Schizosaccharomyces pombe: one gene and its partners. Changing the gene in region 4 together with the main gene of any one other region gives a genetic interaction. Each region holds a gene or a part of one and is shown on either strand. Other genes may lie near its edges. The genes, in order: php5, pso2, hel2 and dnf2.

The links.
Region 1: mutations in dnf2 (region 4) and php5 together harm fitness less than expected from each alone (positive genetic interaction), as found in Schizosaccharomyces pombe (one large-scale study listed by BioGRID).
Region 2: mutations in dnf2 (region 4) and pso2 impair growth when combined (synthetic growth defect), as found in Schizosaccharomyces pombe (one large-scale study listed by BioGRID).
Region 3: mutations in dnf2 (region 4) and hel2 together harm fitness less than expected from each alone (positive genetic interaction), as found in Schizosaccharomyces pombe (one large-scale study listed by BioGRID).

Annotation. Positions count from the first base shown.
Region 1 is NC_003423.3:3,391,351-3,398,714, reverse strand, and holds php5 (CCAAT-binding factor complex histone fold subunit Php5), read left to right. Parts: upstream 1-2,208; 5' UTR 2,209-3,014; coding exon 3,015-3,359; exon of another isoform or gene 3,360-3,404; coding exon 3,405-3,434; exon of another isoform or gene 3,435-3,492; coding exon 3,493-4,365; 3' UTR 4,366-4,811; downstream 4,812-7,364. Other genes in the region: mitochondrial [2Fe-2S] cluster assembly NADPH-ferredoxin reductase Arh1, read right to left, coding at 1-798, 881-1,087; lys9 (saccharopine dehydrogenase), read left to right, coding at 5,546-6,898; mitochondrial F1-FO ATP synthase peripheral stalk assembly factor Ina17, read right to left, coding at 7,333-7,364. UniProt on the Schizosaccharomyces pombe protein: Component of the CCAAT-bound heteromer, php5 is essential for DNA-binding activity. It is essential for transcription activation of cyc1. It is the linchpin that binds to the subunit association domains (SAD) of php2 and php3 to bring these proteins together.
Region 2 is NC_003424.3:1,155,987-1,163,732, reverse strand, and holds pso2 (DNA 5' exonuclease), read left to right. Parts: upstream 1-4,250; 5' UTR 4,251-4,940; coding exon 4,941-6,623; 3' UTR 6,624-7,246; downstream 7,247-7,746. Other genes in the region: DNA-directed RNA polymerase III complex subunit Rpc11, read right to left, coding at 281-610; rps2201 (40S ribosomal protein uS8), read left to right, coding at 1,097-1,489; COP9/signalosome complex subunit Csn4, read left to right, coding at 2,381-3,514; protein mug103, read left to right, coding at 3,733-4,107. UniProt on the Schizosaccharomyces pombe protein: Required for DNA interstrand cross-link repair. This requires cleavage of cross-linked DNA to generate DNA double strand breaks (DSBs).
Region 3 is NC_003421.2:1,832,031-1,838,391, reverse strand, and holds hel2 (ubiquitin-protein ligase E3), read right to left. Parts: upstream 3,819-6,361; 5' UTR 3,780-3,818; coding exon 3,683-3,779; intron 3,638-3,682; coding exon 3,440-3,637; intron 3,382-3,439; coding exon 1,478-3,381; 3' UTR 928-1,477; downstream 1-927. Other genes in the region: RNA polymerase I upstream activation factor complex subunit Spp27, read right to left, coding at 5,332-5,478, 5,650-5,799, 5,933-6,144, 6,217-6,361. UniProt on the Schizosaccharomyces pombe protein: E3 ubiquitin-protein ligase that plays a key role in the ribosome quality control (RQC), a pathway that takes place when a ribosome has stalled during translation, leading to degradation of nascent peptide chains.
Region 4 is NC_003424.3:222,380-231,975, forward strand, and holds dnf2 (phospholipid-transporting ATPase), read right to left. Parts: upstream 6,858-9,596; 5' UTR 6,305-6,857; coding exon 5,933-6,304; intron 5,854-5,932; coding exon 2,017-5,853; 3' UTR 1,701-2,016; downstream 1-1,700. Other genes in the region: serine/threonine protein kinase (NDR family) Sid2, read right to left, coding at 1-1,473; SPOM_SPAC24B11.14 (uncharacterized protein), read left to right, coding at 8,166-8,302, 8,364-8,420, 8,451-8,757; hem3 (hydroxymethylbilane synthase), read left to right, coding at 9,276-9,596. UniProt on the Schizosaccharomyces pombe protein: Catalytic component of a P4-ATPase flippase complex which catalyzes the hydrolysis of ATP coupled to the transport of glucosylceramide, phosphatidylcholine, phosphatidylethanolamine, and small amounts of phosphatidylserine from the lumenal to the cytosolic leaflet of the cell membrane and ensures the maintenance of asymmetric distribution of phospholipids.

The DNA of each region.
Region 1 (7,364 bases), on a different chromosome or scaffold from region 4:
TATACTTCGGATAAACAACTGTGCGGGTATGGTTGTAAATTTTGACTCAGCATCTGTTCTTATGCTATCTGTAATCTGAAAGCGAACATTTTCAACATTTCCCTTATGTCCTAGAATCTCAACAGGTGTTAAGCCAAATTCCAAATTCCAACATTTCTTGTCTTTTGAATAAGGGGCTACTCGTTTCTCTGAAACAGCTTTCTGGATTTCGGAAACTAATAGCTTTAACAATCTCTTTCTAGGTCTATCCAAACCGCTTGCATCTGTTTCATTCATCCACTTTGTAGAATAATTAAAGGAAGGAGCAAAGAAAACTGCACTTGATAGGGCAAACAGTTCTCTCAATTCTTTGATAGTAAACGAGACAGAAAATATGTTTCTTCTTCCTACAATGTGTAATCTTTTTAAATTGCTTCTTTCAAGTGATTTGAGGAACAATGGATTAATGTCAGTTGGGGATAATTGAGCAGGATTACTTAAAAGGATTCGAGCTACATCAAGTGAAACATTACCATGTCCAATAACTACTGCATCCTCTACCTGACTTAAATCCAACTCAAGATTTTGATTTCTGGGATCACTGTTATACCAACCCACCACTTCTCGCGCACTATAAACACCTGACAAGTCCTCCCCTGGAATTCCCAGTCTCTTGTCCCCAGCAGCTCCATAGGCAAGGACCAAACAATCATAATTTTTAGTCAAATCCCGTAAAGAAACATCAGTCCCAACGTTTACGTTACCAAGGAAGCGAAATTGTGTAGACTCAGCAATTTCGGAAAACTTGTGTTCTACATGCTACAATAGAGGTTAGCTGTATAATAAATTTAATAAGATCCATTTTTAAACCAATCAATATTTCTTGGCTTAACAGACTTACCTTAACTTCTGGATGATCTGGGGCAACTCCATAACGTACAAGCCCAAATGGAACTGGGCGGGATTCAAACATATCTATTTTGACATTTGGGTCATTTCGTAAGAGTCTGTGGGCTGTGTAAAAAGCAGCCGGCCCAGAACCGATGATGCCGACTACAGGTGAAGAAGTTTGAGTGCTATATGTTCTTTTAATGAATCGTGATAGCATCCTTTCTTAGCCTTAAGATGAAAGAAAAACAAAAAATGATTGAAATGAAGAAGTGAAGGATATCTTCGTGATTGTAAATCTGATATAAAACTAGCAGCAATTATCATTAACAACTGGACTCTCCTCAAAACGAAAAGAAAAGCTACCAATGCTTAATAAAACTGATTCATTAGTTTTAAAGCTTTAAATGTTTAATCTCAATAAACTGTTTGGTGACACCTATACAACTAGTGAATTTTATAGCATTGGATGAGTGGTCAGGTTCAAGCAGCCAAGCCTTTTGAGAGCAAAGCATTTATATGATAAGATCAGTCAGTATTTAGAAAAAGGAAATTTCTTATTAAATCAAAGGTAATTACAAACAGGAAAGTTGAATCAAACGCTACAACAGAACTTTTGCTGATCGTTGCTTACGATATTACCAGCAACAAACATCTCATATAGTAAAGTGCAAACCTTCAAATAAGTGTTTTATGTTGTTATTATGAGTGACTTAAGCAGCTTCAAACTGATTTCTGCAATGATTTTTTTATGATATTTCAAATAACTAGTTAGATGATTGTGGCTCAAATGGTTAATTTGAAAACGATATATTTAAATTTCTTAAAAATAATTAATCTCTGCTTATTCAATCATACTTATTTATAAAGATGCTAAACCTAGCTACTTGAAAGTGTTTTCTAATTCCTACTATTATAATGATAAAACAAAAAATAAGAATTTATTACATTCAAAATAATTCTATTTATAAAGGTCAATTACTCTTTCACGTTTAAAGAACTGTTGTAAGACCAACAAATTGTAACGCGGTAAGCTTTATCTTTGCGAGGACTTTAAAAAGGCGTAAGATTCAATTAACAAGGATGTATTTTAATGTAATTCCTGGATTGAAGTCAATTACTATACGTATTTTCTATTCTGTTTGCTTTAATTACTGAATAATATTTGCACATGCTATTGTTTATAGTATTATATCTACTACCGCGAAAACATTAATTATGTATATCAAATAATGAATATTTACGTGTCGTTAAAGTGTTTTAGCAATTGTAGAAACAAAGTATGTGGTACTATAAACCGGTTCCATCAATAAGTTGTGTGACAGCCAACCATCTTCTGCCAGCCACCAATAAATTCAATCGTACCGATTTTCGCTATATTGAGTGTTTTTGCACTCTATATACTTAATTAAGCCAGGTGTAATACGCTACATAGATAATTCAAGACACTTCGACGAGTTAAGGTGCTTTACTAGTGTTCTTTATTGAAGTTCTTTGTTTTAAGAAGTTAATGTGTTAGAGATACGTTAGTAACTGCACTTGTTGCTTTGTCTTACTCATTCTACGAGTTTTTCGTGAATTAAGACGATTGGTATTTATCTTTTTAGATATTGCAACTAAGCCTCGTGTTTAGCCGTTCGTGTTCCTTTCGATTGTAAAACTTTTTATTTTTTTCTTTCCGTTCCACTCTTCAACTTGACGTCAATTTGTTTTACTTCCCTGTTTCGTCTCCTGCTCACCTCTCATATAAGTTTAATTCCCCATTTTACCGGAGACTACTCCGCTCCCTTTCTATTTTATTTCTACTTATCTTGGTTACGATTTTGTTAAGCTGTACATCAAGGTATTGGAAGTTTTCTTTAATCCGCATCTTTATCGCCTCTTAATATTTAGATTTTCGATTTGAAATTCTTTAGCTTAAATTATTGTCAGTTTCTTTAACAGCTTTGTTTTTAGGAAACTGGTATTTGTTAGATCCCGGCATAGTTACAATTTTTGTCATTGTCGTTTTTTTAAACCTGTCACCAGTGAGATTGCATTGATCTCTTATCTAATTGGCAAAGGCCTTTACGTTTCCAGTTTTCTTTTTAAACTAAATTGCCTTTCTGTAGACTTTTTTTCGTTTTTCAATTAAGATTCATTGCAAAATGAATTCTATTCCTGATTCCTATTCCTTGAAACAAGGCTTTCCCGAAGGTTTAGGAGAATATGTTGATCCCTCTGGCAATCCTAATTCTCAGGTACGGATAGGTTATGGTCAAGATTCTGTTTCTCGCTTCCAACAACCAGTCCCCGATGTTGATCCAACTGCTGTCAATCACTACAACGCTAGTGCACCCATTGAGGTTGCTAGTCCATTTGATAATGTTACTCAAGGTCTTGTTGGCAGTGATGCACAAGCCCTTGCTGAATATTGGCAAAAAACCATCGATACATTGGAACATGACGATCAAGCTGTAAAAACTCTGCATCTTCCCTTAGCTCGTATTAAGGTATGCCACTTTTTCTGAATTAATTACTAACTATTGATTATGCAGAAAGTTATGAAAACTGACGATGATGTGAAGGTACGTTACTTTGAGTATTCGAATACTTTTTGACATTAACTTTTACTAATTTTTTTAGAATAAAATGATCTCGGCAGAAGCTCCTTTTCTGTTCGCTAAAGGAAGTGAGATATTTATTGCAGAGCTTACTATGAGGGCTTGGCTTCATGCCAAAAAAAATCAACGAAGGACACTACAAAGATCCGATATTGCAAATGCAGTATCAAAATCTGAAATGTATGATTTCTTAATTGATATTATATCTAAAGATAACAATAATTCCCGCGCATCTTCCAGTCAAGCTCATATGTCTGCTACTCAAGTTGCTGCTATGGGTGGTATGAATGGTTTACAACCTTTCCCCACTCAAGCTGGCTTACCCAATCAAGGGTTTCCAATGCCAACTGGTAGTCAACTTCCATTTTCAAATCAACAGTCAAGTCAGCCTTCAATGCAGTATTCCTCTCATCCATCCAGAATGCAGCAAATGCAAGATATTGATCAATCTATGTATAAACAGCAGCGTCTGGGCTCTGAATATCCACAACTACAAATGTCAGATAACTCCGGAAATGTTAACCAGATGAATATGCAAAGACCGGTCATGGTAGCACCGTACATGGCTGAGCATTTATACCGTTATCCACCTACGCATCTCGAATCTGGATCCTCAGCTTTCCGATTGCAGTCATCCCCTATGGGATATCAAATGCCCCAATTTCAAGGTAATATGCGACCTAATATGCAACAGTCTCAAATGTTTGATCCTTCTGCATATGGTATGTCAAGAAGACCTGGATCTCCTCGGCAATTCGATCAGCAACAGAGACTTTATTCACAGCCAAACGCTATGATGTATCAAACTCAGCAAGGGCGTCAGGGAAACCCAATGCATCAGCAGTTTTCCCAGCAACAAAACCCTCTTTCTCGCTATTCGCAACAACCCCAGTAATATCTTTTAATACCTGTTGATTTAGAACATGCAATTTAAATAATTTCTATTAAATTATTTGGGAGGATCCAACAGTGATGCATTTTTAGGTGGAACTTTCAATTTGTCAATTTTCGGTTTATCTACAAAAGCTTAAAGAAACAGTTGATTTTCATGACATGCTATGTCTAGTCATTGTTACTTTTTTTAAGCTATGTGTGGTTTTATTTTTTTAGCAAGACCGAAAAAGAAATGACGGAAGCTTTTCATATTTGCTGCCTCTTTATTTTCCCATTGCGGGACTGCTAGTGTAGAGTATTTTGTTTTACTTAAACATATATATGCATTTGAAATTCATTGTCGATAACATTCTACCTATTATGGATATTTACGGGTTGTCAATGTAAATAAATGATGGCATGTTGCAATCGGTTACCAAGAAGCAATTAGCTTTAAACAACGTTTAGGTTTACTTTATAATTAAATTTATTCGTATATGTACTTGAAAATTTGCACTTTTGATGATTTTTTAATTTAAAATCTCATAAATTTTAACTTCTATGTAAAAAGGTATTTAGGCTCATTATGCAAGGAAATTACAGCTGCTTTCATTCCCGACTGCATAAAAAACCACCATTCCACGGCCACCATACTCGAGGTAAAAATGAGTACGGCGGTGCGAGGCAGTTTAATTTACTCCTTCACCAGAACTACGCAGTTGATTATGAACAACAGATAGGCAGAAAGAGGAGAAACAAATTATTCTTATACTAAAGCTTAGAATTCTTTAATCTACCCCCAAACAACAACGAATGGCATCTACTAGCTTTTAAGCAACTTCTGTTCTGCAGAAAAAAACTACGTAAAAAAAGTTGCTAAAACTATCAGTTGCGACATCGCTGCTAACAAATTATCGACTAAACTTGTCGATAATAACGAATTCCCCTAGTAAGCCAAACATAACATTGAGAGGAAACGTAACGATTAAATATTAATTCAAAAAATGGTCCATGTGACTGCTTTTTTAACCGATTCGAGATAATCAGTTTTCATCAATTTAGACGACGATTTCGGCCATCAGAAATAAATCTGTGGATAAAAAGGAACCCCTTATATATCGCTAAAACCGTGACGACAAAACAGAAGTCTTTGGTTTACCACTTGTCCTTAACTGACTGCCTCTTTCATTTTCAACATCAAAATGCCTTCCATCTTATTACTTGGTTCGGGATTTGTCGCTCATCCTACTTTAGAATATTTATCTCGTCGTAAAGAAAATAATATAACCGTAGCATGCAGAACTCTTTCTAAGGCTGAAGCATTTATTAATGGTATCCCAAACAGCAAAGCCATTGCTTTGGATGTCAATGATGAAGCAGCTCTTGAGAAAGCTGTTTCCGAACATGATCTTACCATCAGCTTGATTCCTTACACTTATCATGCAACAGTTATGAAAGCTGCCATTAAGCATGGTAAACACGTTTGTACCACCAGTTATGTGAATCCCAAAATGGCTGAGTTGGAGGAAGCTGCCATCAAGGCTGGTTCTATTTGTATGAACGAAATCGGCGTCGATCCCGGTATTGATCATTTATATGCTATCAAGACCATTGAAGAGGTTCATAAAGCTGGCGGTAAGATTAAGTCTTTCTTGTCTTATTGTGGAGGTCTTCCCGCTCCCGAGGACTCCAACAATCCTTTAGGATACAAGTTTTCTTGGTCTTCTCGTGGTGTTTTGTTGGCTCTTCGCAACTCTGCCAAGTTTTATGAAAACGGCAAACTTGTTGAAATTGACGGCAAGGATTTGATGGAAACTGCTAAACCCTATTTCATCTATCCCGGTTACGCTTTCGTTTGTTATCCTAATCGTGATTCCACTGTCTACCAAGAGCGCTATCAAATACCTGAAGCAGAAACTATCATTCGCGGTACTTTACGTTACCAAGGATTTCCCGAGTTTATTCATTGTTTGGTTGATATGGGATTTTTGGATGAGACAGCTCAGGAATACTTATCTCCTGAAGCACCCGCTTTGCCTTGGAAGGAGGTTACTGCTCGTGTCATCAAGGCTGAATCTTCCTCCGAAGCCGACCTAATCAAGAAAATTTCTTCCATCCACAAATTCAAAGATGAAGACGACAAGAAGCGCATTTTGAATGGTTTGAAGTGGCTTGGTATGTTCTCTAGCAAACCCGTTACTCCTCGTGGTAATCCTTTGGACACCTTATGCGCTACCTTGGAGGAACTTATGCAATACGAAGAAGGTGAACGTGATATGTTAATCCTTCAACACAAGTTTGAAGTTGAAACCAAAGAAGGAAAACGCCAAACTCGTACTTGCACTTTGCTTGACTACGGTGTTCCTAATGGCTACACCTCTATGGCAAAATTAGTCGGCGTTCCTTGTGGTGTTGCTACTCAGCAAATTCTTGATGGTGTTATTAACACCCCAGGTGTTTTGGCTCCTAATGATATGAAGCTTTGCGGTCCATTGATTGATACACTTGCCAAAGAAGGTATTCGATTGGAGGAAGAAATTATTGACGAAGAGTAAGCATGTTTCACGCTTTGGTTCCAAACTCTTATATATAAGTTTGACATTTTAGAACACCAAAGCTTCTTCATTTTCTATAATTATTCGTAATCTTAGAGTTCGTCAACCTTTTTTTTGGCAATTTATCTACATGTTCATAAGTATAAATGTTCAGTTTGTTTTGCAACCTTATTTATGTGAAGCTTTACTTGGGGTTTTCGTATTTTCTAAGTAGATGTATTTAGTCTTAGGTAACCGACGTAAAACTCGAAGAAAAAATAACCTCTTCTCGATTATTTGAACAAACAACTCGAGGACCTTTTGACTGAGTGTTTCGTCTGTAGCATTTAGCTATTCAAAGAATTTTTGACATACTGAACTATTAACAAATCGTAATCTCGCTTCTTTAAGCCATATACGTTACTAAATTTCTGGGTCATACAAATCTCGTGTTTTTATTTCGCATTCTCTAAATTCCGTAATTCGC
Region 2 (7,746 bases), 930 kb from region 4:
GAGTAAAGATAGAAAATAGTTTAATCAATTAAAAACATCAACGAAAGTCTACTTAAAAAATAATGGTGGTTAAATAAATCATATTGACCCTAATACCTATACCCAAGTTGTGAACTAAGTCTGACGTTCCAAGCAAAACCCATATTATAAAGTGATGAACAATAAAGTAAAAATAAGATATATTTACACGAAACATTGAAGACACAAGGATAAACACAAGCAGTTTATTCACTGTCCACCATCGATAGCAAAAAATCTAACAAACCAAAAAATAGATAAACTAATTCTCACGCCATTGAAATTTGCATTTGGTACAACGATAAAAGGTACTCATAGGTTCATCTGCACTACGAATTTGAAGTTGGAAGAAGTAAGCACGATTATTGTCACATTTTGTGTTTTCACAAGTGACTTCGGTTTGCTGATTAGATTCAAAAGCTTCTTCTCCACCTAATACATCGTCAACTTCCTTTTGGGCAAATTCGTGACGACTGTAGAGAAAAGTAGAAATTGGAAAATGATAAGGACATGTTCTACAGTCGAACGCATTCCTTCCTTCCTCGTCAACCGCGACAATTAAGTGATTTCCACAAGTAGGACAAAACTGCATTATGAAAGCTCAAGTAATAATAAAGTGATGAGCCCTCTTAGTGGTTTACTCCATATGTTATAATTTTGCAAACTAAATTGGTTGTTTACAATGTCATGACTTTAAAAGTAAATTATTAACCGACAACTTCATAATCTACGCTATTTTTGTTTTGTGAAATTTTACGAAAATGTCAATATATTTGTTAAAATATAAACGTAAGGATGTAGCTGTAACTCTTCATTAGTTTTGCATTTCAAGAAAGTAAATCGCTCACAGAATAAAAAGACGAAGAAAATTTTTGTTTTCTTCTTTCATTCATTTAATTACATCAAATTGTATTTTTCTTGACCGAATTTTATCTAATGACCATTCAAAATATAAGGAAATATACATATTATGCCCTAAAGTACGTTATGTTCGTAGACATGTGACTGCTTTTTTTGAGAACAAACATGCTCCTATGCCGAAACAAAACTTCTCTCATACCAGCAGCAATTTGCAGAAATGGTTCGTCAATCTGTTCTCGCTGATTGTTTAAACAATATCGTCAACGCTGAGCGCCGTGGACGTCGCCAAGTGCTCATCCGTCCTTCCTCTAAGGTTATCGTCAAGTTTTTGACTGTCATGCAAAAGCATGGCTACATTGACGAATTCACGGAAATTGACGACCACCGTTCTGGCAAAATTGTTATCCAGTTGAATGGTCGTATTAACAAGTGCGGTGTTATCTCTCCCCGTTTCAACGTTAAGCTTAAGGATATTGAGAAGTGGGTCAACCAACTTTTGCCCTCTCGTCAAGTCGGTGTCATTGTTTTGACCACCTCTCGCGGTATCATGTCCCACAACGAAGCTCGTGCTAAGGACGCTGGTGGAAAGATTCTTGGTTTCTTCTATTAAACTCAGTTATCTTTCCTTTCAACTGAAAAATAAATAAGCCCTTCTTTGTTATTTCAATTTGCGCTGTAGTTACTGTAAGACTGTTCGTATTTTTTAACATTCCATTAAAGAGTGTAAAAAAGGTAGTAGAGGAATTAGTAAAAATGGTGCTTAAAGCCACTTGAATATTTTTGCTTTCAGAGTTGGAAATCGAATGTAGGGTAAACTTTCTTGTTGTACTGACTAATTTGCTAACAGAAGCTGTTACTTTTACGTTTCAATAAATGTAAACTTTTATATTCAATTTTTATGTATCTCATAATTTCCGTAATATAATCGATCTTAGATATGAAGAAAAAGTATGCATATCTACATAGTTGATCCTGAGAGGTAAGACATCTTCCCGTATTGCAGAGAAGACCCCTAATTAGATTATTTTAAAATAGTTGAACCTATTTCATAAATGTGCACTTTTCTACTGTTCCCATTATCAACATCAATTTTAAAACTTAACAAACACGACAGCTGAAGAAAGCAAAAGTAAATAATGTCGGTATAATTCTAGCATTTAAATTAATTAAAACATCATTAATGAATACAGTTGACATCGTCAACTTTTTTATTTATAAACAAATCGAGATGTATAATATGTACAATTCTAGAGAAAAATGGCGGCAAAGTTACTTTACGCATTTCTTAACTCTTTAAATTTATGTTTGCGTAAATTTGAAAGAATAATGTATTTAAATCATATTCTTCTTCCAATTATTAAATTACGATACTTTAATTAGTTGATTGCCATTAAGCTAGAGGTGCGAAACTTTGATTTTGCTACTCTTACCAAACTCACATTCAATGAAGAAAAGCCATTCACTCCCACCACTGAATTATTTCTCCCAATAAACCATCAAAATGGAAGAAGTAGTTCATTATTTCCTGGAAGGGAATATGCCGGTGGCACAGTTTCGAGAAGCATTAGCTTTGCATTATACAAATGAAAAAGAGCTATTTGAGCAAGCGAAGAGATGTTTAAATATTTGTTGCGGCAGCAACAACTTTGCAAAACGGAACGACGTTTTGTTTTCTTTACTTGATGTTGCAGTTAGCATTTCGTCTCTTGAGTTACGGAAAGAGTTAATATCTGAATTATATGTTCCAGTACAGTCGTTAGAGGAGGCACCTTCAGAATATTTGGTTTCCTGTTGTTTACAATTAGCCACTATTTATGAAGCTGAGCAAAATTTTGAGCTTTTATGTTCTTCATTGGAAGCTGTCGAAAAACATGGTCATTTTGAAAACGACCTAGAGCAACTCTTGTTATTAAGAATTCGTTTAGGAGATGCTTATTTAAAGTTAGGAAAAGCTGAAAAAGCAATTTTAACCGTAAGGACAAGTATACCATTGGCATTTAAAGTTAGTAATGATCAATTGCTAATGGAACTTCAACTTTGCAATGCTCGCGCTCTCGATGAAACAGGACAATTCCTAGAAGCTGCGAAATGTTACTATCGGGTACTTCAATATAAAGTACCTGGAAATGAACTAATTTATAGAGAGAACTTGTGTTCAGTAGCTCAATGTTTACTTCTAGCGATTCCTTCTCCTATTGTTTTGCAGTTCCTCCAAGAAATCTCTCTCCAACCATCCGTCCGAGAAATCCCGTTTTATTCTCTAGTCGAAAAGTACCTTAAAAGAAAGTTTATCGGAAAAGAGGACGGAGCCTTTCTGTTGCCTTTTCTACTTCCTCACCAAGTAATTCATATGAATAGATTGATAGAGGATGGTCGACATTTTTTGGAAACGAATATCCTTTTTCTTTCAGAGTTTTTTGAAGTTTCTTCTACATCTATACTTGCAAAACACTTTAAACTTTCTGAGGAACAGGTTGATACAGTTGTTGCTGATATGGTGATACAAGAACGATTGAATGCTTCAATCGATCAATGTGAAGGATACATTACTTTTTTGCCAGAGTATGGAAAAGCAAACAATCTTCCTAATTATGTTAATAAAATTGCAACCGTTCTTCAACATTACGGTTCTTAGACCAAATGTGAAAAAAAAAACTGTTTTATAGTTCATCTATTTTATTCATTTAAAATAATATTTATTGTATAATGTCATAGAAATATTGACGTTCTTATTTGTATCTTTTTCACCTCGTGGTCGCTAATGTTTGTTTACATTATAAGTAACTTCCCTCTCTGCCTGTTCTTATATTATTTACATGTGCTTGTAACTCCAATTCGCAGTACCAATTGGTAATGGAGCAATTTGAGATAATCAGAGAATCGGATGCTGATCCTTACTACTTTAATAAAAATCTTCGACTAGAAGAATGCGAAATTGACGGGTTTACATCAATTTATAAAGCTCCACCTCCATATTCTTTTGTCGCTGGTCTAAGTAAAAATACTTCTTCTAACAGTTTTGTAATCCACAAATGTCTTCCACCTTTGCAAAGGAACAATACAATTAGAAAAAGAAAGCGAAATCCTTTTCTAGCTGACAGACCTTATTGTATCAACAGTGAGGACATGCCTTTAAGTGATGACCGAGATATGTTAAAGGAACGACACGTCAAATCGCGAAAACTTTTATTAAAGGAAAAAGGAAATCGTTTTTACCGTAGAAGTTGATTTTTATAATTATTACCACCTGTTTCTAACTGTTTGTCTTAAAACTCCTTCGCATGTTGATGATTTGTTTTAAGGAGCTTGAGCGAAGACTACTTTATGCTTGCCAAGAGGGTTTTTTTTAAGTGTTTTGCCTTGAACTGTGCAATTGCAAGGCTTTTCAGTAACAGGCCTTATTGCCATTGTAGGCCATTAAGAAAGTAAAAGGAAAAAAAATTAAAATCATTAAGGAACGCTAAGCTGCAGTGAAAGTATATTTCTCACTAGCTTCTCCAAATCGAAGTTTTTTGTAAATAAAACGCATTTTCGTGAATAATCGATGCTTTTTTTTTAAGGTGTTTTTTTCTTTTTTTTTCATTACTTCAATTTTCAGTTATTACCCTTCCTTAGGTATACTTCTTTTTTTTACATTTTAGACCAGATCCTGACCGACCAATTTTGGATCATCCAGCGTCACATAATAATTCATCCATAACACTTTTTAATACTTTGAAATTTATAGTTAGAGGTAAAGTTTCTAAATCTGTTTCCTTTGTTTTTTCGTTTTGATCTTTCAAAGGCATACCTAATATTCTACGACTTCTCATACACATTGTACATTAGAAAAAGTCGCTCTTGACGTCTACTCGCCGTTTCCTTAACTTCAAGACTTCTTTTAAGCGATTCTTGCGGATTTATCGTGTCTTTCCTCGAATAATAGCTTTCATTATTAAGCTAAACGAAACTTTACAACTTTTGAAATAACTTCCTTTAAAAGAATTCAATCACTTACTGTTGTTGCTTATACACCAAAAAACAAAAAACTAATAATTTTGCCTTTGTTTACGTTCACTGAAATGAGTAAACGAAAGTCATCGTCTATTTTAGATTTTTTTAAAAAATCTAATAATGGCAAAAACATGTGGGGTAATGAAGCTGTTTCTGTTGAAAAAACTGATTCCACCACCAAGCCCTCTACAGTAAAAAATGCAATTTCAAGTTCCCAAATAAAAAATGAGAAATTCTCACAGGAAGTCTTATTACAATTCAATGATCCAAGTTTCACTTCTGAAGTGGGTGAGTCTCCTCAATGGCAATCTTTTGGGGATGCTAACATCTTAGAACCTTTAAAAAATGAGCTGGTTAAAAACGAGGAGTCAACCATGTCTGAATTGCTTCTTTGTCCAATATGTGGAATAACTTTGGAGTCTTTAACTGTCGATGCCAATATACATGTCAATGACTGCCTAGACGGGAGAACAACGGAAGCTGTTTCAAAAAAGCTGAAGAAAGACTCTGTCGTTAAAGCCGATCCTTCGAATTCGAGTACATTCCCAATATCTGATTCCTGTAAACAGGCGTTATTACCTTTACCTGGAAAGCAAATTAATGTTCGGTCTGTTGTTCCTTTCTATAAATTAATGCCTTATAATATTCCTTTTGCCGTTGACGCATTTGCTTACGGTGCCATTGATGGTGTTGAAGCTTATTTTTTGTCACACTTTCATTCTGATCACTATGGCGGTTTAACTCCAAAATGGAAGCACGGTCCTATTTACTGTTCAGAAGTAACAGGAAATCTTTTAATAAATGTCATGCATGTTGATGAACAATATGTGAAGCGTCTCAAACTAAATCAACCATATAATATAATGGGTATTACTGTATATGTTTTGGATGCTAATCATTGTCCAGGATCAGCTATGTTTGTTTTTGAAACGCTTCAGAGTAATCAAACAAGACGTGTTCTTCACTGTGGAGATTTCCGCGCTTCTAAGGATCACGTTATGCATCCTGTTTTACGAGAGAAGACCATTCATAAAGTTTATTTGGACACTACATACTTGAATCCTAAATATACTTTTCCACCCCAAGCGGATGTTGTTCAAGCTTGCGCCGACAAAGCAATATCTATCAAGAAGTCAACAGATTCTAGGCTTTTGGTAGTAGTTAGCACTTATAGCATCGGGAAAGAAAAAGTAGCCGTTGCTATTGCAAAATCTCTTTCTTCACGGATTTATGTGGTTCCTCGAAAAATGCATATTATTAAACAACTTGAAAATCAAGATTTAATAGATTTATTAACGGATGATCCTACGCAAGCTTCCGTACATATGGTCACTATGATGGGAATACATCCGAATTCGCTTCTTGACTATTTGGAACAATACAATAGTTCCTTTGATAAGATCATAGGGTACAAAGTTACTGGCTGGACATTTCAACCCTTGGAAAATCGTGCACAACTTAGCAGTAGCTTAGACTCGATAATTTCCAGACCACCGAAATTTGTGGAATACGATTTAAGAGCGATTAGAGGAAGCACCGACAAAGTGGCAGCTTTTGTAGCCCCTTACAGTGAACACTCGAGCTTTTATGATTTAACTATGTTTTGTCTGTCGATGAACATTGGACATATTATCCCAACTGTAAATGTGGGTAGTCAACGGTCTCGTGAAAAGATGAATGTATGGCTAGATCGTTGGGCTTGGCGCCGAAAGAAACAAGGCCTACTTTCATTGGAAAATGTGGATTGGTAAACCAAAATCTACCACAATAATTTTCCTTTCTGTTTCTTTTAGGGTTATACGAGCTTGTCTGTAGCTATTATTTATGGTTCTTATAATTAATGTTAATGTGAGCAAAATGTTTTTGTATGTATGCTTTACTATGCCAATCCTTTATCCTTCTATATTTTATTTTTTTTTTTAGTTTCAGGAGTGCTAATACAAGATTATACAAAAAAATGACACCAAAGTGTAGGTGTATATTCATTTAAATCAAACTATGAGCTTGCAAATAATCCAAAACTTTTAAACTTTCTTTGAGCTTCGTTTTTTTATGATCGAATACTTAACATTAGTTCATTTAGGCTAATTTTCTATTTTTTTTAATTATAATAATAGAGCAATCTACAACGAATTGTCATCAAATAAACACCTTTCATTATAAAACACATCATCAATTTTTTTTCTAATTTTTTTGTAATAGCATTCGCCATTGATGAACGATGAACCTTAGTATAAAAAATTCTCATAAAACATTGCCCCGAGAGTTGAAACATCATAGGCGAAGGAGCTCAAGATTCAAATTTCCACTACAGAGAAACAACGAAAATAATTTAATGGAAAAAAAATCAAGCTACTCATAAATAACCAAAAAAAAATTCCAACAGTCCAGCAAAGGGTGTTAAGAGAGAAGAAAAATAAAATAAAATAAAAAAATATATAACAAAATTATAAAAAGTAATAACAAAAAGACAGTAAAAAATGATTGAAATATGAAATATTGTTGGGATTTATGGAAGCCTAGTCAACAAAAGACTGACTAAAACAAAGTTATTGTAGTTGAATACAGATAAAGATATGAAATTATCAATAAATAATTTCTTCCCAATGAATCTATAGGTAATTAATACCCGTAATTAACAGATTTAGCAAGTCATAAAATTCTCCCACTCCAAAAGGTGGCATAAAATAAACTAGGATCCAAAATAAATAGCAACATAACTTTGATAATAGCAGTATAGAAATTTGATATCCAATATAACTCAAAGATGGAAAGCATGAATGCCTATCAGTCCAGAGTATATATGAATTATGCGATGAGTCTTGATGTTGTTCGTTTCAAACAAAACAAAATATCGAAAAAAAATAGTTAAAA
Region 3 (6,361 bases), on a different chromosome or scaffold from region 4:
CCTTTATATATCTTCAATGTTTCGATTAACAGGTCCATTATCCGGTTTTTAGTTTCGCTGCACATTGCCGAATGACAATCGGATTCCTTTAAGCTTTGCTTTTGCCCTGTTTTCTCTCCCCAGTAATCGTTGGGTGACTGAACCATCCAGTAGCCGAGAGTTACGTTTTTCCTGATTTAATAAATATCCATATCTATTTGTCTCGTGGTGTTTTACAGCAACTAACCGAAATTACTATTTTGCATCATCCAACCATAAAGAGACAACAATAATTCTAGAAAACATATAACAAGTGTTTTTTTCTATTTACGTCTCATACGCAAAGTCCACTTTACCATGTTTTGGAAACTTGTACCCAACCATTCATTTTTCGATTTTGTAATGAGGCTCTTTTCTTCTAACAATCATTGAGGTCATTATCATGTGTCCTCACCTATTGTTTAAATTGAGGCTTGCGCTATTCCCAAAATTGTGGGTATTATTTTCATATATCAGTATCTGCAATTTCGGTTCAACTTTCTTATCAAGAAAGAGGATTAATTTCTTAACAAAAACCTTCTTTGTTTTATAACGCTGATTTTTGTATTATTTGGCGACCAAGGTTATAAGTGATCCAATCCAAATGTCATAACTTCAGTTGATCCCTGCGGAAAATATAAATCAGATTAGACATATGGTTATATAAAAAAAAAGAGAAATTATTTGAGTTCATTGAAACTTCAACGTTATTTGACTAAAACTTGTTAATTTACATGTCTGCAAGATTAATCCAGCATATTAAATAAATTAGTTGACTTATGTCAAACAAATAATACATTCTTGATATTATTAGAAAAAAAAAAGAAAATTGAATAACTTGTGAGAAATGATATTGTTATTATTTTAGATTATGTCCTTTGAAATACAATAACATGCTAAGGCACTTACTACTTAAGCCTTTATTACTTTAATGTGCTAACAATCTTCTGTATCCTTAGACGTTAAATTTTCCCTTATTAAAAAATAAAAAAATAAAAAAAAAATATAGGAAATGAAACAACCGCTGATGACTTATTCTGTCTTTTATGGCGATAATTTTCTGATCATTCACATGTGTTGAGATTTTTCGGAAATACTCTTCCATTACCTTTGATTTTAGCAAAATGGCTTGCTTAAAACAACAAATTTTTTTAATTAATCAAATTTATTTTAAATCTATTACTCGCTGCCGGTTGATATTATATCAAGCTAATTTTCATTTTATTTCTGAAAAAACATCCAAAATTAAAATCATTTTTCGCAGGAGCATTAGCGGAGGACCCTCAATGTAATGCTAATTTTTCCAAAACGACACTTTCTTTTATGAGGTCAGATAAACAACCCAACAGTCAGGTAAAAGGTATAAAGTGCTAGATTATAAATGAGTACATCCCAAAATTATTATATATTAACGAAATGCCCATCCATCAATAAAATTATTATATACAATAAACCAAAATCAACCAATGTGAAACAAAACAGTTTGCTTTTTTCCGTTTTTTTTCTTTGAAACACCCATCGTATTACTATTACGATTGGAAGAAGTATTTGGTGTAGACCCCCATGAATCAACGGGACGAGCCTGCTTTTTTCCGAGTTGAACAGAAATTCTCTTCGAGGTAGAAGGAGGAAGTGCGGGAAAATCTTCTTCAGATCTTGCATTTAACGCAGATGCACGTGCTTTGCGCACACCCCAAGAAGGAGTATTTGCAGCTGAGCTGTTCGTTGGCCTTGAGGTAATATTTGCTAGGTTTATAGAAGATGATGGAGCAGACAAAGAAGGCCCATCGTGAGCTGCTGCACGCTCAATACGATTCCAAACACTAGCTGTTTGAGCAGCAGTCCTATTTGATCTCTTCAAGCGCAAAAGATTAGAGTTAGTAGTACCTATACGAGTATCATCTTTCGCATTCAGTATTTTCCATTCCTGCCAAGCTTCCAACAATTCCCTTGACTTCTCTTTATTTTCTAGAAGATTTGCTATTTGGTTGAACACGCCCGACAATTGCTCATGAGGCTTTGCAACTAATTTTGTAATGCGAGCAACAGCTTCACGAGCGGGCATAACATTACCACGGAAGGAAGAAACAGCAAATTTAAAGTCATTAATTTTGTGATCATCGTAATTCGTCAATTTTTGCATCCGATCAATTACTTGTTGGTGTTGTGCTTGCTCGGAAGAGGCCATCGGGGATTTAGTGCCCTTGGGTGGAGATGGAACATGATTTCTTGAAGCAGACTTACCAGACAGACGAGGCGCGGAGACAGGTACTGAGGGTGCGGAAGAGCTATTTTGATTAGCAACCTCGGCTAAAGAGGGGAAATCTTCGTTTCTTAACGTTCTAGTTTTTCCTCTGCTGATGGTTCTAGTAGATGTCGCTGGGCGGGCAGATGTAGGCGCCGGATTTGATAACGTGAAACCAAAATCACGATGGCGAGCTTGTTGCTCGCGAACATATTCTTCTTGTCGTAAGTGAGCAATCTCTCCACGGGAAAGGTGTAGGTTAGAGAGTGAGTTGGCAGTCTCATTCACTGAAGTAGATTGTTCGGATGGTGTGGAAGAAGTTCGTTCACGACGGTTCCTGCCGGACGCGCCGGGTGGGTCGTAACTAAATTGAGGAATAATTCTTCGTGCTTCTCGAAGTTCGCGTTGAGTAAAGTTGTGGGGATGCTCATCCAACTGATGCGCTTTCAAATCTATTTCAGTTCCAAAAACAACAAATTTACGTTCCAAACACTCCCTTTCACGACAAATATAATGATCTTTTTCAAAGTGGCGCTCTAACGAATCATAATTTTTAAAGTACTGATGCGTCGGCCTTCCTGCAACTTGGTCACAGATGTAACATCGTTCATGTTTTTCACGGCAATGCTTAAACAACTCATCATCATCATAAAAATGGGTATTACAAAACTCACACTTCGGGTGACCCTTGAATCCAGTAATCTCTAAATCGGATCCCTGATCTCCAACTTCATTGTGCTTTGTCAATCCTTTCTTGGAAAATAGCGTGTGTTCATGGGTAAAAACCTTTTTGTTCTTAACACAAAGATCACAGAAAAACTTATGGTGTTTGACCTTCGCATGCAGCTTTAAATCAAACCAGCCTTTGCATGTGATATCGCAAGCGTCTTCTGGACAGTTGAATTGAAGCAAGAGGTTGGATTCTTCTTGAGCATGCTCGTCAGAATACACAATTCCAAGTTTCTCATCTTGGAAAGGAAGTTTTGCTAAATCGACATCATGAATATCGATTTCATGATCTTTAGTAATGAGAACCGTATCCCATTCGGTTTTACAAAACGTACATTCCTTCGTTTTGTATAGCGCTCGCAATCTCAAAGCACAAACATGACACATTCCTAATTAAGTTAGATTAAACATAGTTGTAACATTTTTAAAACATGATACAAGACATACGATGATTGCAAGGAAGGACGCAGCTGTAAGTAATACCTTCAGCACAAATGAAGCAAATTTGCTCATCCTCATCCTGTTCTTCTTTGGAAGCATCAACAGTAGCGACATTACTGACAGGATCTGTGCCAACCGGCTCTAAGCAAACTGCATTTTTTGGAGTTTCTACCGACCTAGAGCTTACCGGTTTCTCTTTACTTTCTTGAAATGTGTTAAAAGGAATATGTCAACAAGGAAGTTACGTACGATTCCTATTAGTTTTTTTATTATGAGTCCTAGAATTCTTTTTTTCCGATGCTCTGTTGTGCTCCTTATTATTTAAATTGGGGCCCGAAGGCGACATTTTGATTGTTTATAGAAGATTGCGTGTATGGCGCTGGGTAAATAAAATTTCGTAAAGCGAGCTGCTGTATGCTAAAAAAAACAGTTTAGCTGGAGACCTCTGAATTAGCTGGAATATCGCAAACTAAGAATATATTTATAATTTCAACATTATTGGAAAGTTTTTAAGCTTCTGAATTGATTTTTGAAACGTGCATCGAATATTTTGTTAGAAACGTATATAGCATTGAATGTACAGCGGAAGTAAATAGCAATCTCTTATAAAGGGCTTATATAATTTACTAATTTGTTTTGAAAAAAATATTCCCCTAACTTTTTCGCCATAATCTTTTTACTTTGTGCTTAAACAAGAAGTCGTGTATGTATGTAAGCAAGCGTTGTCCTGTCTACAAATAAATGCAATTGTTACAACTGTTAAATGTGGCTTCATCTAAAGTGTGATTGGATCTTTAGAAGTCGTAAACACCATGAAATGATTCAATCAATAATAAGTATATTCATTAAGGACTAATATAAAAGAGAAGAACACTTTCCACTCAGTCTAATCAATTTATAAGTCTTTTGACGGTTATAAGCAGCAATCTTCCAAAAAAAAAACGACCCACAAGCACACAAAAATGTTTATGTAAACATACTCTAACAAACGGATGACAGGTTTGCAACCCCAAAGAAAATCCCAAAATAAAATAATAAACAAATTAAAAAGACAGTACATTATTTGAGACTTAAAAGCATATATCCAGAAAACATCCATTTGCGTATAATTTAATATATACACTATAGACACAAGACGAGTACTAGTCATACAACCAAGCCATATCTTAGATCATCCAAAACTGTAAAGCAAACATCATATTATGGGTTTGTAATACGCAAGGGTAGTAAATAAAATTTATTATTGATGATATGGCTTCGACAGCTCCAAGCGACGGTGGTTTCGTAAACAAAATTCCCCGACAATGGGCTGAAGTGAATCATTTTTTATTTCAATGATATTATAGAGCAAAGCAGCGGTAAAATAATTAAAGGTGCGGTGAAGAAAGTGTTAATACAATACATGAAAATCTCCATCATGCACAACAGTTCATTTAGAAAAGAAAATCAATATGCTATATGAATTTATAAAAAAAAGCACAAAGATATCCATAAGGAATAGGTGATAAGAAATATTCGTAAAATCACAGTCAGTCTAACGTAAATTACCTCTTGTAGCAACCCAAGGTCTAAAGTCAGCAACCTGAACTTTTGTTTTCACACTGCATTTAAGATCAGAAAGTTGTAATGCAAAATACGATATCTGATTATGCGTGGAGACTCTCTAGACATACATAGCCTCTAGTATTAAAGCACGGATATGACATGGACATAGGCAAAATCTGTTGAGGAAAAACAGGTAAGCAAGCGAGTATTGAACGAAATAAACATTTATTGCATGCAATGAAAGCAAAAAACTTGAATGATTTTTGGAGACAAAAAAAAAAGGGATTATTGCAAGATATTATATGAAAAAAAGTTTTGGCTGTTTTATATGGTCATGCAGCAAACACAAAGGCTCAAGCGGTGGATTCGGCGGTAGGAGGCTCGACCAACTCTTTTTCCTCCTGCTTGGGAAGATCGTTCGGAGCCGCTGGTTCTTCATTTTTAGGCTGAGGTTTGGGCAATTGATCATCAGGAATCTTCGTCATGAGATTTGTTAAGTACTATTAATTAAGTTAGCTTAGCTTCGGCAGCAGGTAACAAAGAGCAATGCGGAATGTTTTCCACAAGTAACCAAATGAAAAAAGTAGACAAGGAAAGTTACAATCGACAAAGTAAAAGTTTGTTGACAAACCTCCTTAAAACAATTGTGAACCCATCCATGATTAACTTACCTTGTTCATGGTAAACATATGCAAAGTGTCGACTTCGAAAACGCTTTTCAATTTGTCATCACAAAGAATTGTTCGCTTGTCGTTGGGATCTTGTAAGTCATGTGCTTTTATATACTCCCATAACTTCTTCACAGTTTGGGGACGAGATAACTACGTTAGTTAGCAATCAGCAGAGAAAGCGTGCAAATAAACATTTAGTATGTAAGCCTGCCTCTTTTTTCAAAACAACAAGATTTTGAATGGAACGAGTAGGCACGGCTTCCACACTACAACACCGCCTTACCTGTTCAAGACCCAAAAATTCGGCCAACTTAGGGGACAACTTCATAGGCTTATTCAGAGGATTGTTGGCAGGATCTTGGTTCCTCTTGCGTTTTCCACCCTCTTCTCCATCTTCCTTGCGTTTTCGGGTTCTCTTTGCTGGTTTCTTGCCTTCTTCAGTGCCATTTTCCGTCGCTCTCTTACCCTTGGTTTTGCGAGCGGGTGCTTGTTTTTCTACAAGTTTGGTTAATTATTATTTCTTGCATTATTATTTGCAAATTTCTTCCAGCAATATTCTCATCTTACCTAAACTCTCCTTCTCTGAAGGTGCGGCGGTTTCATCAAAGCATTTCAAAATCAGCGCATTCAAGTCTTTTTTATGCGCACTCAAATCTACCTTTCTTCTTTCTTCTAAAAGTTGACGAACTTGCTTCGCAGATACAGTTTGGCG
Region 4 (9,596 bases):
ATCAGTAATGCAGTGACATACAAAATCCCATGCATCATCTCTCCAGTTGAATTCCAAATCGCGGGGATCATCATAGTGAGGGCGTTGAAAACACTTGCGCCAATTCTTCAAGTTAGACCAGGTTTCATTAACATTGGAGCCAGAAAATGGAGGAAAACCAGAAAGACATTCATACATGATGCAGCCAAGAGACCAATAGTCTACAGAGTGGTTGTAGTTTTCACCTCGTAAAACCTCTGGGGCCATATAATCAGGAGAGCCAACTACTGAATGAGCGTATACAGGATCCTGAGATAAAAGAGTTCGAAACACTTGTCGCCTTTCCCTCATGCTCCTTTCGGGAACAACGACATTGTTGACTTCTTGAAGACGAATCTTCATACTTTCAATCTTCTTTTTGCTGATTATTCCAGAACTTAAACCAAAGTCCGTCAATTTAATATGGCCGCTAGCTCCAACCAAAAAGTTTTCTGGCTTAAGGTCACGATGGATGTAACCAAGTTGATGCAAAGCATCAATAGCTAGGAACATTTCTGTAGCATAAAACTTGGCATGATGATCCCTTAAAACACCACTGTTGCTAAGCAAAGTACGGAAATCACCACCAGGAACAAATTCCATAGCGAGATAAATGTTTGAAGTATCCTGAAAAGCATAAAGTAGACGAACTAACCATTCCGAGTTGGCTGTCGTAAGGATATCACGCTCAGTAAGAACATGCCTGATCTCATCCATTTTATGCAAAACCGATTTATTCATGATTTTCAAAGCAACAATCTCTTTGGTGTCACGCTTCCTAGCCAACCAAACAGAGCCATATCCACCTTGTCCGACTTGAGTGATGGTCTGGAAATCTCCGTGACTAATGCGTGTCCTCCTTTTCCTTAGATATACTCGTTCACGTCCATTGTATCGCTTCACTAGCTCGTCTCTTCGTGAATCAGGCTCTTTAAGCAACTGCTCTTCAAAAAGACGGGCTCTTTGCTTGCGGGTATAAAGATAATGAAGCTGCTCAAAGTAATGGTCTAAAAAGAACATTTGACAAATGGTTGCCATTCTCTTTACCTTAGGTTGGACCACTTTCTCCATTTCTTCAACTGACAAGTTCATAGATCCATTTTCCCATCTTGGTGAACCCGTTGAACTTCTATCTGACCAATGATTATTATCCTTGTAGCTCAACTCGCCAGATCTATCAAGACCACGCGGAATAGGGCTTGCAATCGGTAACTTACTAATGTGTTTTGAATGCATATGATTGTCAGGATAATTTTCCTTCGAAGATGCCACTGGGGAAAGCTTCATACTATTAAATTGATCCTCCAAATTCCTTTCTTTATCATTATTCGACAAGTTGCCGGGTTCAAAAAGACCATGTCGCTTCATATATGCATCAAATTTCTTATCTGCTTCAGAACTTAGCTGAAGTCCTAAATCACCTTCAACTGGTGACATATCATTAACACGATTCATTATTAGTTTTCTTTAAATATGTATCGTAAACATCCAACGTTTTGGTCCCCAAAAAATGCAAAACTCCTGTCAATAATAACCTTACGTGTTTTGTTTACGGCAGAGTACATTTCCATCGGAGTTAGGTATCAGCCATTTACCCTTAGCAACCAAAGTTTGATTACAGCAGTCGCTGGAAATTTCAAAACTTAAAAAACCAACCACCAAATTTACTACTTAGAACAAGATTGTTAAAAAGTCTGTTTTTATTATTTATCATACAAATGTAAACTAGATATAGTAAATTTATCTCGTTATTTTTAAAATGTACTGTGAATGCAAAATACATTTTAAATTTGATGCAATCTTTTGATTTCAGAAGAAAAATGTAAACGTTCATGTATTTTATTTAGTATGCAGAGATGTTTCTATAACATCATAATCATTATTCGATAATTCATCATTCTTTAGTATGAAAAGTTATGTTCTTAAGCATAGCGTAGAAATAGAATGGGTACACAGATTATCTTGATTAGATAATTCAGCTTATTAACTTGCCATTTTTTAAGGCCGTAACGGCTGTTCAGAAGAAGAAATGGAACCACGATGAGGCATGTATTCGCCTCTGTTAAGTATTTCATCAGAGAACACAGGAGAGCCCTCCAAGAAACTTGGAGTATATGACGGGGTAAAGCTTCTTGGCATACTTGATGTGAGTGTAAGCGAATTTGTGTCCAAACGTAAAGGTTCTTTCTTGGGTGTCGCCAAACTTGACGAAGATGCGTTGAAAGGGACCTGTAAAGTAGAAGATGCCCAATCTGGAGATTGTTCGGCATTCTCAATCTCCTCTTCTTCATCCAATTCATGAAGGCGTTTAGTGCGGTAACTTTCGCGAATGATATCCACATCATATGGCCAAAATAACTTTTGCGTTGTCATAAACAAAAACTTCGGGAAAAGACAACTTACAATCGTTCCACATAAAACAGCCCAAAAATTTGGAGTTCTGAATATACGCGAAGCAGATTTATAAAATTCATATGTATAAAGGCTTTGAGAGTAGACGCCAGTCCAAAACCAAAATGTCAAACAACTGAGCGCCCATAAACCAATTGAAAACACATCCCAATTTGATTGATTCAGAATAACATACGTGTCGACAACCATAATAGTTGGCGCAGCAACGTAAACACCTAAATCTTGTACAGCCATAGTATCACGACCATTCTGAGCAGCTGTGGTCACATTGTTAATCACAAGAAAAGAGAAAAAGAAACAGATTACAGACTGATAAAACCCATCAAGCATATATCCAATAAAGATTTTCCTGGCTGAATTTAATTGCAAAATACCACGCTTGTAAAGCTGAGGGATCCGAAGCGACAAATCAGCATTAACATCTTGATCATAGACACCCATGACAATGACAGGTAACGATGAAAAAATCAAGTTAAACAGCATAACATAAGTATAATCGAAAAGGTAATTTGCGTCGAAATTGTTGTAAATCTGATACCAGAATAAAGTAAATGTCCATACAACACTCTTGTAGAAAAAGTTGTTTACCATTTCAGCAACACGATTATAATCCCAACGGCCATGAACAAGAACCAGCTTGCTCAAAAATCGGAATTGACCGATTGCATAATCCGCAGACATAGCTGCAGCACGGCCTTCTTCACCAACAATACCAACACCAATATCAGCTTTTTGAATCATTGCAACATCATTCGCACCATCTCCAATGGCTAACGTCATTACTTCAAGGCTTTCGCGTACCAATTGAACAACATCTGCTTTTTGAGCCGGACTAACACGGCAACACAAGACAGCCTTGCATCTTTTACAAAGTAGCAGAAACTTGGTTCTCATTGGACCATCTAAAACTCGTTTAAGTACTGATCCATCAATAACTAACGCATGAGAGCCAGAGGGAGTGTCATGATCCTTCTTAGCAGCTTCAAGTTCTTCAACTGATCCAGACAAACCAAAATAACGATATAAGTAGTCAGCTAAAATAACTTCCAACTCTGGTGTTGACACTTCTTGGTCCACATCAAACTTAATCATGTCCATGCCAGCGTCCAATAAATTGCAAGAAAAACCAATATTAATAGCAGTCTCCATTTTGTCTCCGGTCAGAACCCACAATTTGATACCGGCTTGAGCCAATAATGCAATTGAATCAGGTACTCCTTCTTGTAATCGATCCTCAATAGCTGTTCCACCGAGCAAAGTAAGATGAGATTCAATCAAATCGGCAACTTCCTCTATTTGCTCCTCACGGTTTTCAATTGCAGATGCGGCGATGTCATACTTTTCTTTCCATTCGTAATATTCCTCTTCAGTAAGCTCTCTTTTTGCGATACAAAGTGTTCGTAAACCTTCCAATGCAAAAATTCTGAGATGCTCAGAAGTGGTTTTACGTAATTCAACTTGTTCATTTGGTTCCAAACGTTCGAAAATAATGCTATCAGCACCTTTGCAAATAAGCACATAACGGTTATCGGGTCCTTTAACGATCACACTCATTCTCTTCCTCGCTGAGCTGAATTCAATAGTATCCATCAATTTGAATCTTTGGGTTTCTCCAAGAGCACGAGTAACCATAATGTCTCTCCGCTGGTCCAAAAAAACAAAGCCAACGTCGCGGGCGGTACCCACGAGTGCAGCTTCATCTGGCGATTGTGCTTTATAGACAATCCGGTCACCAACTCTGTCTGCAACTACGCTATGACAAAGGGCCAATGCCAAGAAAAACTCATAGCATGCAAGTGACTGTTCTTCACCAGCTTTGCCAGCAAGGTCATGAACAAACTGCGACGAGATGAACGTGAGGTTATCATCCACAAGGTATTTGTTGTCGTGCATATTTCGCATTTGAGAAATCATTTGCATTCGGTCACGTTCAATGAAACTTTGCTTTTGAAGAGTCAATTCTTCAGTATCCTTTCCCTCGCGTTTTGCCATTCCCGCCATTGCTTCGGTAAATGCCTCACCATACGCAACTCCGTTGATCGTACATTTTTTAAATTCCATAACATTTTGAGTAAGAGTACCTGTTTTATCAGAAAAGATATATTCCACTTGTCCAAGATCGTCAGAAATATTCCAAGATTTTGGAGTACAAGCATACTTTAGCTTCTTATAATACATGTCTTTGTCGAAATATATAAAAATTGCCTGGATGGTCTTAACGATTTCAATTGAAATATAAAGCGAAATGGGCACCAAGTTTTGAAAAAGAATAACACCAGTGAAAAACGTGACGACACCATCTTTGGCAGGAGAACCACCAATGGAACCAAACTCAAAGTAATACGAGGAGCGAGAATGACCACGCCAGGCGATTCCTTCGACAACTGCGCAAACAAAACACATGGAGAAAAGGATAATGAAATTAAGATAAACATTCCAATTAAGATTTCTAGTAATGCGACTACGCTTTAATGGCGGAGCACCAGAGTTCAGCATAATCTTGGTATCATCGCCAGTAAATACGACAACTCCAATCACCCATTTTGTATTCCTAAGGACACAACCACGCAATAGCATTGAGTCCAGACTGATGGGCTCTGAAACAGTTTGGGAGGTATCAGAGCCACCTGCTTCAGAATGGACAAAGGACTTACATGCTCCATTATACTCATAAAGGTTAGCGTGTGGTGGTTCACTCTCTATCCAAAAACGACATCTCTCGCATGAGGCCTCGTCAACTACATTCTTTCCGCACGTTAGAGCGTGACGCATTTTTAAGTTGGTTTCACCATCAAGATTCTTGGTTTCAATGTAACAAATACCTTCAGGGTCGGATGAATTAATGATGACTATATCTGCGGGAATTTCATCATTATCCATAACTTTTACAAAATCACCTACACGGACATCCTTCCAGTATGTTTTTTTGAAATGGCACTCGCCAGTAGCTTCGGCTTCATAATCAATAATATCCATGGGACGCGATTGGAGAATAGTTGCAGTCCCATCTAAAGCACTTAAGGGGACTTTGCCCTTTGAATCTTCAAACGATCGTTTTGCCTCAAAAGACTCTCTGAAAATAGAATCATAACTAGGTCTTGATTCAGAACCTGCCATATCTTCCAAAGGTACAGCGTCATTCAAACGCTTTGCTCTCTTCTTTTCCTCCTGCTTTGCTAGAAATACGCGAAAAAGAGCGGAGATCCGTTTTTTGAATCGTCTAAAGTAGCTGATGTATTCAGTACGAATGTTTGGGTTTTGATAATGGCTTAAACGAAGGGTAGGGGTGTTATTTAAATGAATATCAAGCATGGTTCGGCGAAAATCTTCAATAGCGTCTTTAACAGCGGTAATACCGACAACAACAATTAAAGGAACAGCAGCCAATCCAGGATTTACTTGTTCACCGAATATGGAAATAGACTACATAAAACGTTAGTAAAGAAAAAAATGAACCAAGATAATTGGTGATTTCAATCGTGATGAGAATAAGAAAGCATACCTGTAAAATAACTAAAAACAAGAAAAAAAGATTTGCAACATTCTGAAATTGTAAAAAAATATTTTTTGGAATAAAGTCAATGGGGGTGTACTTAGCAGTACGAATTTTGTTACGAGGAAACCAACGCTTGGCTTCACCAGTATCGTCAAGCTCCGAATCTGGTAATGGTAATCCAAAGTAAAGAGTCCTTGGAAGCTTTTGAAGGCCTCTTAAAGATTGTGGATCTGAGCCATCATATTCTTCTAACTCTACTCTAGCGGCATCAGCAAGAGGAATATTCAGACGATCAGCTAAACGGTAGACTTTGAGCCGTAAAGCCTTAAAATTGGGAAGCCAGCGCCTTTGCTTTGATTTTTCCTCAACACTTTCCATCCGACCTCAAGGAGAGTGGTCTGTAGTCAATGAGGAGAAAACTAAATTAAAGCCAAGAGTCAAATGCAGAGGGACGGCCCTAAACAAATGAAGATATAATTTATATAGGCTTTCTAAATGTAAGATATGTGGGGATTATGTGTTGGAAAAGGTACGGATAAGAGGATGTTACAAATACCGAGAACACAAAAATCTATCAACGATGCCCCAACCGAATAGTAAAACGATGTGCTTGTAAATAACGTGAAATGAAAAATAAAATAAAATAAAAAGATGATATAAAATGAAAATAAAAGGCGTGTACCAATATTTGATGGGATAATATGGAGACGCAACGAAAATGTAAAATAAAAAGAACGCCCTTTTTCTGAGACTAAGATAACAAAGGAAGCTTTATGTGCAGCCTCCTAGTACTAAGAAAAGAGTAAGCGTCGAAAAGAGGATTTTTCGAAAAAATTTACTTGGCGTATAATAAAAACGCTCTCAACCTATTTTTTACAGCAGAATCAAAGAATTGAAACGAATTTTGTAAAAACTGTGTTGGGTTGTGGTCAGACTTTCGCAACCCTTCAAAGTAACACCTATGCTTCGTTAAGTAACATAGAGTTGCAAAACAACTTGCTCATTCCTATCCCGTTATTCCAAAATATCAACGTCATGGTTGCATTGTTTTCTTTTGAAGTAGCAAAATCCGTTTACTTACTAACTGCTAAATACTTACGCGTTCCCATTGAACCAAGAGTTTTAGGACAAGAAAAGGTTTGCACTATTGGCGCACTCTTTACAGCCGAAAACATTACATTCGGCTTGAATTTTTCGATTTTATTTTGTATAATGCAGATGAATGTAGATGGTTTAAACGCCATAAGAAACTGTATATACGTTCTCGTTAACTGACCGATAGCGGTAATGTAGTGGCGCAGACGTGGCTGCCGTTGCAAATCGGTAAAAGAACAGTAGTATTCATTTGCTAAATAGCAAGCAAATTGTTGCTTAGAGCATAGTAATAGATTATTACGGTTGTTATTAGTGAACTTGCTTCACTTAAGATTAGCGCATGGCTAGTTAAATGATAGTGGGTGCGAGTTTTACGTGACTGAATGCTCTCCTATGATTTTAATGAAATCGAATTTGTTGCTATCCATCATTGTTACATTTTACTAGATCTTTTAAATTCACGGAAACATAAAATCACGTGTAGATAATTGCTGGTGGATGCGAATGTGCGGTTAAGATGAAACTGTAAACAATCCGCGAATCTAGGTTTGATCTTTTAAGATGAATTTCGAAATCAAGTCTTTAATGTACAGAGTATTTGACAATTTCAACATTATAAAATGTTACCAGCATAAACAAAACATTACCGAAACGCAAAGAGACCAACGTATAATTAGTTCCAAAAAGTAAACAAAGAGAATGTGTAGGCCGAATGAAATTGGTGCTCAGTGCATCAACAAATGGTCGCCCTAATACATCCGTATGTTGAGACAAACCCAATTTGGAGAAACAACAATGGACCTTTATCCGTTAAAACATGGTAACAAATAAAAATTAAATGGCGACTAATGTAGCGTTCACGTGACTCTCAATGAAAAGCGCGAAAATTATTCAGTCAAACCGTGACTATTCAAGCCACTCTTTTCCCAGTTGTCGCGGTGACTTGTCCATCTAGTACTGGCTGTGCAGTTCCTTCTCGGGAAAAGAGAGTTGCTAACATATGGGTTCAATAAATCAATGAAATTTATTAGAAAACTGTCATTTCACACTGGCAATAAAAAAATTGTGACGATAAGCAATTTTCCTAGTACTAGAGAATAATTTTCGCGACTAACGCGTAAACAATTCCAAAGGCATAACGACAATGTTTGCATACAATCACAAAACATTGCATGTATGTCTGCGTCTCATTTCGTTGAGGAATTGCTCCAACACATGGACATTTGTACCATATGCGAACTCAAATAGGGGGTTAAATATCAATCAGCAATTAAAGCTTTTGTATTTAAAAATTTGGTTCAAAGATTTTATTAGAAAATACAATGACTAATCTAGTTTGCAGCAATCGCCGTTCCAAAATTGCTTTGAGTTCTTTTATAATTCCCACCTCTGTTGACATGTAGTTAACAAACATACTCTAAACTTATAGCTTGGTTAAAGTTGCTGGATTCCAACGATACATCGTAAATGTTGAATTTAGCAACGTGCAATCCTACTTTAGGTATTATAATTATATTTCACTATATTTTGTTACACATTCGAAAGTCCCGTTAAATAGGTTACCGAATTCAATGATACCTTATACAGTTTTTGCACATTTTGACATTGTCCCGTATACTACTTATAGTATTTTAACGAAATATCGTTGTGCACAAGATAAGGAACGTGAGATAGTTGGGCTTATCAACGCAAGTCAAAGCAAACTTCGCTACAAATTTTGCGGGCTGCGCAATTAGCGCTCTTCTTACTGGTGGAAGAGTGAAAAAAAAACCGGCGCCTTTTTTTAATTGAGCGAATTCTTGACAAACGCATCCCGTTCTCTAGCAACCTAAAAATTTCTTCTTGAAGGTTTTCAATTCTCTCTTTCTAATTCCTTTTAATCTTATGTTTTAGAAAGCCTTTAGTTGTATATTTTACTTTTTTTTTTCTTTCAAAACACTGAATTTTCAGCATTCTCAAGTTTGTTGAGAATATTATACTTTGGTTTCTCGGTATCCGCGTTGCGCCAAAGGCTATTTCTTCGTCCAACCAAGTTGCTTCCTTTTTGATTTATTTCATCGAGTCTTTACACATTTATATTTGGCGGGTTTCTCACTCCTTCTGCTCACGCACCCTTGTTTTTTGGTAACATCGTTTGCTTTCAAAAGTTTTTGTTTTTAAAAGTTCTGTACATTTGCATCTCCCTTTTCCCTCGTTAAAAAAAGAGATTTATTAGTTTGAGCATTGTTTTGTACATTCTCTAATTAATTGTAATATGCCATCCTGTACTTCATTCCCCATTGGAACTCGCAAGTCAAAACTTGCTGTAATTCAATCAGAAATTATTCGTGAAGAGCTCGAAAAACACTACCCCCATCTTGAGTTTCCAATCATTAGCAGAGATACTATTGGCGATGAAATTCTCTCAAAGGCTTTGTTTGAATTTAAGCGTCAACTAGCAAAATCTTTGTGGACGCGAGAACTTGAAGCTTTGCTCGTCACTAACCAATGTCGTATTCTCGTACATTCTTTGAAAGATTTGCCCTCTGAAATGCCAGATGGTATGGTGATAGCCTGTATACCCAAACGTAGCTGT